Linked DNA regions of Coturnix japonica. The protein of the gene in region 1 interacts with the protein of each later gene in a pairwise test. Links are inferred from orthologs where the notes say so. Each region holds a gene or a part of one and is shown in the gene's direction. Other genes may lie near its edges.

Evidence for each region.
Region 2: the proteins of ESRRG (region 1) and PNRC2 interact in binary tests that used the Homo sapiens proteins (3 or more experiments, as listed by UniProt). The link is inferred for Coturnix japonica from reciprocal best matches to the Homo sapiens genes ESRRG and PNRC2.

What each region holds. Positions count from the first base shown.
Region 1 is NC_029518.1:17,817,562-17,821,373, forward strand, and holds part of ESRRG (estrogen-related receptor gamma), read left to right. Parts: intron 1-1,296; coding exon 1,297-1,566; intron 1,567-3,812. UniProt on the Homo sapiens protein: Orphan receptor that acts as a transcription activator in the absence of bound ligand. Binds specifically to an estrogen response element and activates reporter genes controlled by estrogen response elements.
Region 2 is NC_029538.1:4,928,128-4,932,708, forward strand, and holds the start of PNRC2 (proline-rich nuclear receptor coactivator 2), read left to right. Parts: upstream 1-1,715; 5' UTR 1,716-1,845; intron 1,846-2,047; exon of another isoform or gene 2,048-2,105; 5' UTR 2,106-2,311; intron 2,312-3,003; 5' UTR 3,004-3,021; coding exon 3,022-3,447; 3' UTR 3,448-4,581. Other genes in the region: FUCA1 (tissue alpha-L-fucosidase), read right to left, coding at 1-182. UniProt on the Homo sapiens protein: Involved in nonsense-mediated mRNA decay (NMD) by acting as a bridge between the mRNA decapping complex and the NMD machinery. May act by targeting the NMD machinery to the P-body and recruiting the decapping machinery to aberrant mRNAs.

The sequences.
Region 1 (3,812 bases):
CTTGGTGGTTTGGATGTGAGGTTGTCTTTTTTTATTGCATTACTTCTGCTGCTTAGTGCCTATAGAGAAAATCTTGTTTGGAGTAGATGCCATGCAGACTTGCTGGTTTATGATCTATTCCTGCTTGACTATAACTCTTGACTTTCAAAACAGAAAAATGCATTTAAGTGTAATCTAATAGCAAAAAGAATGTTCTTGCAGCAGGAACCCTGTCAGAGAACATGTAAGCAGCTCCATAAACAAGTAAATGAAAGCCTCAGACATGCCTTAAGACCCTTTAAGAAAGGCTTGACTAATCCCCTTTGATGATTTTATTAAGTACTCGTGGTTGCTGGTGCCAACTGGCAAACTGCTGCAGCTCACCAACAGGCCAGGAAATCACATCCTCTCCCCTCTTGTTCATAGCTCCTAATGTGATCGGGTTATTAGCAGTTTGATATCAGAAATTAACAGGTACTGTAAACAAGTGGCTGAAAAGGTAAGGCAGTAAAGCTGTTAGCCCACAAGATCCTATTAGGAAAAACAGCATGGGAAAAAAAATAAAAAATAAAAATAAAAAAAATAATAATAAAAAAAAAAGAAAGAAAGAAAAGAAATGAAAAAGAAAGCAAAAGTTAAATTCATTAAGAGGCATTTATTAAATTTTTGCTTGTCTTCAGAAAAAGGACAGTGTGACTGCTGTTCAGTTGGCACCATTATGTGGCATTCTGCTCTTTCAACAAGTGCAGCAGAGGCAGGAGCTGTTGCAGAAGGAATTAGCATCTTTTCTGAGGAGTGGGTTACTTCTCTTTCCCCTGAGGTTAAAGTTCAAAGAGAAATTTCCTCTTTGTGCACATCACTTTAATTCTATTAAAACACCAAATCTTCCCTTTCTTTTTTTTTCCCCCCTCCTAAGTTATCCTTCATGGACTGTGGTACAGATGAACAGGGTCAGGAAATCCCAATTCCACAGCATTGGGATTATGGAACTAAGCATGAGTATTTCAGAGCAAAGAAGACACAGTACAAATCATAGACTGTTACTGTAATGCTCCCCAAACTAACACAATTCTTACAGAAAGCTTCTACAAAACCCCACTTGTTTACAACTGTGTGTGTTGATTAGAAAATATTACGTATTGCATTGATTACTGTAATAAAGTGAGGAAGAGAGACACAAAATCGGAAGTGAGAATAATAAATATATGTTTTACCACAGTGCATGTACAAATAAGTAGAAGAGCAGACTTATGGCAAATCCAAACATGCCTAATAGTTTTTCTTATGTTTTGTTGTGTTTTGTTTTTTCCTGTTCAGGATTCTCTACTTTGTCTCTAGCTGACCAGATGAGCCTTCTGCAGAGTGCTTGGATGGAGATTTTGATTCTCGGTGTTGTATACCGGTCACTTTCTTTTGAGGATGAGCTTGTTTATGCTGAAGACTATATTATGGATGAAGACCAGTCCAAATTGGCAGGCCTTCTTGACCTTAACAATGCCATACTGCAACTGGTAAAGAAATACAAGAGCATGAAGCTGGAGAAAGAAGAGTTTGTCACCCTCAAGGCTATAGCACTTGCTAATTCAGGTTGGCAGAGTGGCACCGTGGTTGCTACATTTTTAATATGTCACTTTTCTCCATATTACTTTCTGCATGCTTGTTTTAAATACAGGTTTAGAGTAAGAAGTTGCTAATCAACCCTTAGTCTAACAGGCAACAAACAATGCAGTTCAAGCTAAGAGGAGCTTTCTGGTCCTAAGTAATCAGGGAGTACGCTCCTAAGGGAGCGGGAGTGTAATGCACTGTGTGATTTGGAGACTATTTTACAGGCAAAGATCCTTACAAATGAATATGGATGCTCTTCTCCTAAATCCATTCCATAATCCAGACGAGTCTAATCATAGTAGTTAAAATGAACAGAAAGGATACATGAGGATATGCTATATCCATTCTCTTTAAATGCAGCTACTGACTTATAAGATAGAGTGAATTCAGGGTGTGGGAGAGGGGAGGAAATTCTTTGTTAATCCAACAGGGACCCCACTTTACCTTTTGGATCCTCTGCATTTGTGGTGATGCTTCTCCAAAGATTACTGTTACCTGTGCAGAAAGGGTTAAAAATCTCAGAAAGATTCTTTTTTCCCCTCTGCATTTGAATTTAAAAGTGCTGAAGCAGTGAATACTGCCAGATAAGTAAAAATCGTTTTTGCTTTGTTGTTTTTCCTTTTGTGTCTCCTTAATGCTTTATTGTGGTCTTAAGTCCCTTTTAGCATTTGCATAAAGTTCACGATAGATCCCTCTTTAATGACGTGCCGATCATTAGATACCTGTGTGTCAATAACATGCTCTGATGCTATGTTCCATTGACAGTCACACCGTGCCCCTCCATCTGCTTTTGTTTTGACCCTATCTTTGAACTTTATCTTGGTTGCTGGCCAGTAGTTTTCCCTTTAATTACAAGAAGGAAACTGTCAATAAAATCTGTTAAATGGGATGCAATGAGTGGCTTGAATGGGCGGACGGCTATTTGTTCAAATTCTGCAGCATTCAAGGTATTGACAGTTTGTTTTCTGGGGCCATATGTGACGATCAATCTCAGGCTGGGCTCAGCCGCGCTGAAAAATGAAAAACCAGATTGCTTTTGCTTACTTGTGGATGACGACTTGTGATTTGGCGCGGTCCTGGTGAGATGAGACCTTCTGCCCAAATTGCCCCCCTGAGAGCCAGGATGCGTGACTGTTTTTAGAAATAATTTTTTAATTGATTTTGTAATTAACAGTTCATCTACAATATTGATGCATGAATCCTCAGATTGATAGGAGGGAAATTGTTTTCAACAATGAAGTTGTACTTTCCTATTTGTCTTTGTAATGTGATTTAGCACTCTGCATTTTTAATTGGAAATATAATTCAAAAACATGCAAAGCCAAAATGCTTATTAGTTTCTTTGTATTCTCCACCCCACTGACTCTGTCCCTGGTATTAGAATATCATTTTATTTTCAGAAGAGAAAACATCTGAAATGTCCCTCAAAGCTCCGAGTTGTTTTGTAATTGAGGATCTATTTACAATTAGTGACCACTGTAAGTGTACACTTGAGAACGTTTTGCAGCTACAGGAAGGGCTTTTCCCAAGGTTGTTCGTGCTTATTGAGCAGAGCAATAAAGTTAACTGGAATTAGGAGTCTAAATTGGGAGCTTATTATGTTTCTTTCCCGATTTTTACATTGGTCTGTTTGATTTAGAAATATTTCTGTATCTTACTTGATGAAGAGGAAGGGAACTGGGATGTGGGAATCCAGTGTTAAATACCACTCACAGCCCTATTGGTTTTTCTTTTCCTCAAGAGGCGTGCAGTGATTAAGCAATAATAAAATACACTGCTGCCAAAAAAGTTTATTCATGCATTGTGCATGGAGTGTGTTAAAATAATCCGTGGCTTCATTAACTTCCCTGGGAATTACAACCAGGATAATGTCAGAGAGAAATACCGTTTCGCGTACATTTAAGGGAAAACATTTCCTTCCCTCATCTGCAAAGGACTAAAATTGCTGTTTTAAAATGAAACTATTGCACAGAGGAGTTACAAAGCAAACCAGCTGTTTGACTTCCCTCTGAACAGAGCTCTCTGATGGCTGGCATTAAATAGTGCAGGTCCAGGTTGCACATGAGGCAGATATCAAACTTCTGTCAACTATAGCTGCCCCAAACTGTAGAGGTAAGACAGCACATGCAGAGTATCAAGCCCCCAGTGTTTTAATTACATATACTGCTAAAATTAAGTAGGAAAGCAAAATTGAAGTTTTTGTCTTTTTTTTTTTTTTTTTTTTTTTT
Region 2 (4,581 bases), on another chromosome or scaffold:
CACTCGGAGCCCCACGCCGGCACGGAGAACACGCCCCAGTGCACGAACAGCCCCACCTTGGCCCGGTCGAACCAGGCGGGCAGCGGCCGCGCGTCCAGGCTGGCCCAGTCCGGGCTGTAACGGGCTGCGCCGAGCACCGGGCCCAGCGCGGCCGCCAGGCACAGCAGCCCGCCCGCCGCCATGATGACGATGACGTCACGCGGCCGCCGCCATCACAGCGCGGAGCTGCGGGTGCCCGGCCGTGTCCTCCCGGCTGCGGGGCTGCGCGACGTGCTGCCCCCACCCGCCTCTGCCCCGCGGTGTGTCCCGACACCGCCCGCACCCTGAGGGTGTTCGTACTTGTCTCCATTACTTCCCTCCCCATTGAGCGCCCACTTCTTACTGCTGCTGTTCTGTGCTTCCCAGCAGCTGTGACACCCACCGACCAGCCCGTGATGTGCTGCAGAACCCGCTGAGGCCCTGACCCCACACTCTGCTCCCAGCTGCTCACTGGGGAACAAACATTGGCAGCTGCAGCGTTTTCTGTTGCACCCGGAGCATTTTGATCCCGATTTGCGTCTCTTGGCATGTTGGAGCAGAGCAGTCCTGGACTTTGGGCTGAAATGTGGCTTAGCGTTGCAACAAGCTGCTCCTCTCTTACGTCAGGTTCTGGGGCAACCAGCAGGACCACAGCGATTGCACTCCAACCTCAGCATCCCATGCTTCCTGCAGCTCTTTGCAGGACATCACAAATGCAGCAGTCATTATGTCATTATTCTCAATGTCATTATTCAGTGACAGCCCTTGTCTCCCCAGACGGGTGCACTGTGCAGCCAGGTGGGTTTTGACCCATCTCAGCTCACCAGGGAGCTCCTCAGGTGCCCAAATCTCCCTCAGAAATCGCTGCCACCCAAACCAAGGCATCTCTTAAACAAACGGCACCTTGACGTCTCTGAATTGCACACAGCTTTCCCAGGACTGTCTTAAATTCTCCATACCCGCATTTACGCAGTGTCCAAAGAACATTACAACGGTGTTCAAGAGATGTTTAGATGTTGTACCACAGGACACAGCCTGGTGGGGAAATACTGGTGGTAGGTGGGCGGCTGGGCTCAATGATCTCGGGGGTCTTTTCCAACCTTAATGACTCTGATTCTGTGACTCTGTGCTGGGGAGACTGGAAACCCCCTGAACACAAAGCGGGTGCCATAAGGTGAGCACAGCGCTTATGGTCCGCGCACAACGCGGGAACGTCAGTTCGGCCCCAGACCCGGCGGGTTCGGCCCCGTTGCTGGAGGCCGCGGTGCCGGCTGCGGTTCGTGCGGTTCGTGCTGCTCGGCCGCCCCCGCCCGGCCGGAGCTGCGCCCTGCACCCACGGCGCGGGGGAACGAGCGCTCAGCCCGCAACGCGTCCAACTGCTTGTGCTCCAGCCTGAGGCTGTTCCTGCTCTGCAGCCAGCGCGGGGACGGGAGCGGGAGCAGAACGGCACGAGGGAGCGGGAAGCGAACGGCGGGAAACGAACGGCGGGAGCAGAACGGCGGGAAACGAACGGCGGGAGCAGAACGGCGGGAGGGAGGAGGAAGGAGGGAGGGATCAGCCGCAGCCGGTCCGAGCTGCCGCGGGGCGGCGCCGTTGGTTCCCGCGCTGCGGGGATTCGAACCGGACCCCGCCCCATCACGCCGACGGGGGAAACTTGCCTCTCATTGGCTGCGGGGAGTACGCAGCGCGCTCCTATTGGCTGGAGAGCGGCGACTTGGGAGAAGGGAGAGGGGGAGAGGTTATAAAAGGCGACGGGAGCGGCCGCCATTTTGTGTGGGGCCGGGGACGCGGCGGGGCGGGACGTGACGGTACCGAGCGGCGGGTCGGGTCGGTTCGGACGGGCCTGAGTGTGTGTGTGTGTCTGTGTGTGTGTGTCTGTGTTGTGTGTGTGTGTACGGAGCGGACAGCAGTCGGTAAAGGCGGGGCGCTGCGGTTGGGCCGGGTGCCGCCATGTTGTGCTCGTGACGCCATTGTTGGGGTCGGGGCGTGGATCTGTGTGAATTCCATCGTTTCTAACGTTCTTTTGTAGCTCCAAACTTGAAGGGGAAAAGTTGTTCCCCGTGTCTGACTCCAGACTCTTCCTGCAGCTGTGACTTCTCCCCTTGGAGTTTAGTGCCGAGAAGCTGATGTTGGCTTCGGCTGCCTGGCTGAATACGGCGGATCGGCCCATGAAAACCTGCGCCCGGAGCCAAAGGAAGGAGAGCAGCGAAAGGCAGCACCTGCTATTGCAGGCTTGGAAGCAAGAAAGGGGGCGAGGATTGGAGAGCGTGGAGTCGGAAACGGCCACTGAGAGGTAACTGAGATGTGCAGGGATGGGATGGTTCAGGGGACACAGCCGTGACAGCGCCTGGCTTTTCTTTCAGGTCCACTTACAAACGGCTGCTTCACACTTGAACGTTTTCAGTTCAGTTGTGGTTTTTAACTCGTGTCCCACAGCTGTGCTCACATCTGTGCTGCTTCCTCATCTCCTGCCAGAAAAATCTGCTCTGGAACGTATCTCATGCCTACATTGCCTTCACTGACTGTACCTGCTTAGGAATATCAGCAGTTAAAAGTAGTATTTGTTAGACTGGGGCATGCCTTTATCCGTGCAGATTTCTCTCTAAGTATAACATAGGCTTGGTTTAAATGTCTTCAGTGTTAACCCTTTCATTTGACGTTGTTTTGTGAACAGTGCACCTTTCACATTTTCCTAGTGCAGTTTGTGGAGGGAATTAGTGGCACGTCCAGTGGTTGGGCTGTGCAGAGGAGCAGCTTTTTCATCAATAGGTAGACAGAGCTGTGTATTGATGAAGGACTGGTCTGTATCCAGTTCCTGAAGGATGGATCAGTGCACGATGACCAGCAGATCAGCCATTAGCAGCAGAATTGTTAAGCCATTTTAGAGGGAGTATCTGCCACTAGGAAGACACATTGCACTGTAGTTCAGTTTTCCTGGGTTTAAAAAAGGAAAAGAAAAATACAAACTTTTCCCTTTCTTTACAGGTGACATTTAACTTGAAAATGGGTGGCGGAGAGAGGTTCAGCATTCCAGTTCCCCAGTCTAGAAATATTACCAAGAACCATCAACAACTTAAAAACAGGCAGAAGAATAAAGACCAGAATTCACAGATGAAGAAAACCTGTATGAAGAAAGAAAGAGGACATGGATGCAACTCCTTGTCTGGTGCATGGCAGGCCATGCAGAAGGCAGGAAAGAACAACATTCATTTCCCCTGTAATCAAAATTGGAGTCCTGATCTGTCAAACCGTAACCTATTTTTCTCACCTCAGACCAATCAGAACTATGCAGGAGCAAAGTTTAGTGAACCACCCTCACCAAGTGTTCTTCCCAAGCCACCAAGCCACTGGGTGCCTGTTTCTTTTAAACCTTCTGATAAAGAAATAATGACATTTCAGCTTAAAACATTGCTAAAAGTCCAGGCTTGAGATGGAACTTTAAATGATAAAAGATTTATCAATTAGTTATTTGAATTTACAGGCTCCAACTTTGAGACTAGCTATTCAGAAGTGCAGATGCACGGGTAACAGGACTAAATGTTCTTGCTGCATGTAGTTGGAAGAGAAGGAGGCAGGTAGGGACGCTTACATTCCCAATGTTTTACCTCAAAAGTTGTGTGCTTTCTTGATTTTGCTATTACATTAATTTGATTAAATCCTAGACTGTCACCATTTACTGTAAGAGTTAATGGGACTGTCCCTAAAAATTGGAATTGAGAGTCCTTGTTAATGGCATTGGAAGGCCAACTTTTGCTGAACTTGATGCAGCATTAACTGGAAAAAACAAACACTCTGCAAGCTTTAATGAGGTGCTCTGCCTTTGCCTTTTCACCTTTTATCAGATTTTCTAGTTAAAACTCTTCTGAGCAGCAATTCCTAGTGAAAATGCAAAGAGGATTTGTTTTTTTTCAGACCTTTGAGATCTGACACTCAAGCTTGTGACTAAAATTTAGTTTTAAGAAACATTTCTACATGTTCTTGAAAAAAGGTGGAAGAACACAGTAAAGAAGTCTGTATCTCCAGCTCCAGCAGTATTTCATTGCAACCTCAACAAATTAGACTGCCAGTTAATGACACGTTTTGCATTGCCAGGTGACTGCCAGAAATTCCCCAAATTCTTTGTATTCTGATGCACTGATAAGTTCTAAATTCTTTTTTTTTTCCTGTTTTGTATAATTTTGTAATTGTGAGAAAGCTGGAGAGTAGTTACTTATAACTTTAAATTGGTTACTCTACAATTACTTTAAGTTACAGTATCTTATGTAGGTATATGATGTTTTCATAGGGAAAAGAGAGCCATGTAAATAAGTGTAATACTTTGTAGCATATGTAAATTTATGCTGGACTTTCCTGCATAGAGGTATTTTTAGAACAAAAGTGGTAAATGGAAGGTGGCCATGCTGAGTACGTGGCCTGATCTAAAAGAAAAGAATTATTTTGTTAAACACAAAAGGACATTTATAGATGTAGCCTTGGACTTAATATACAGTGAATGTGTACATTTTATGTGGTCATGGGATGATTTTTAAATAAATGCAGTGCAAAAGATAATTATTTAGAATT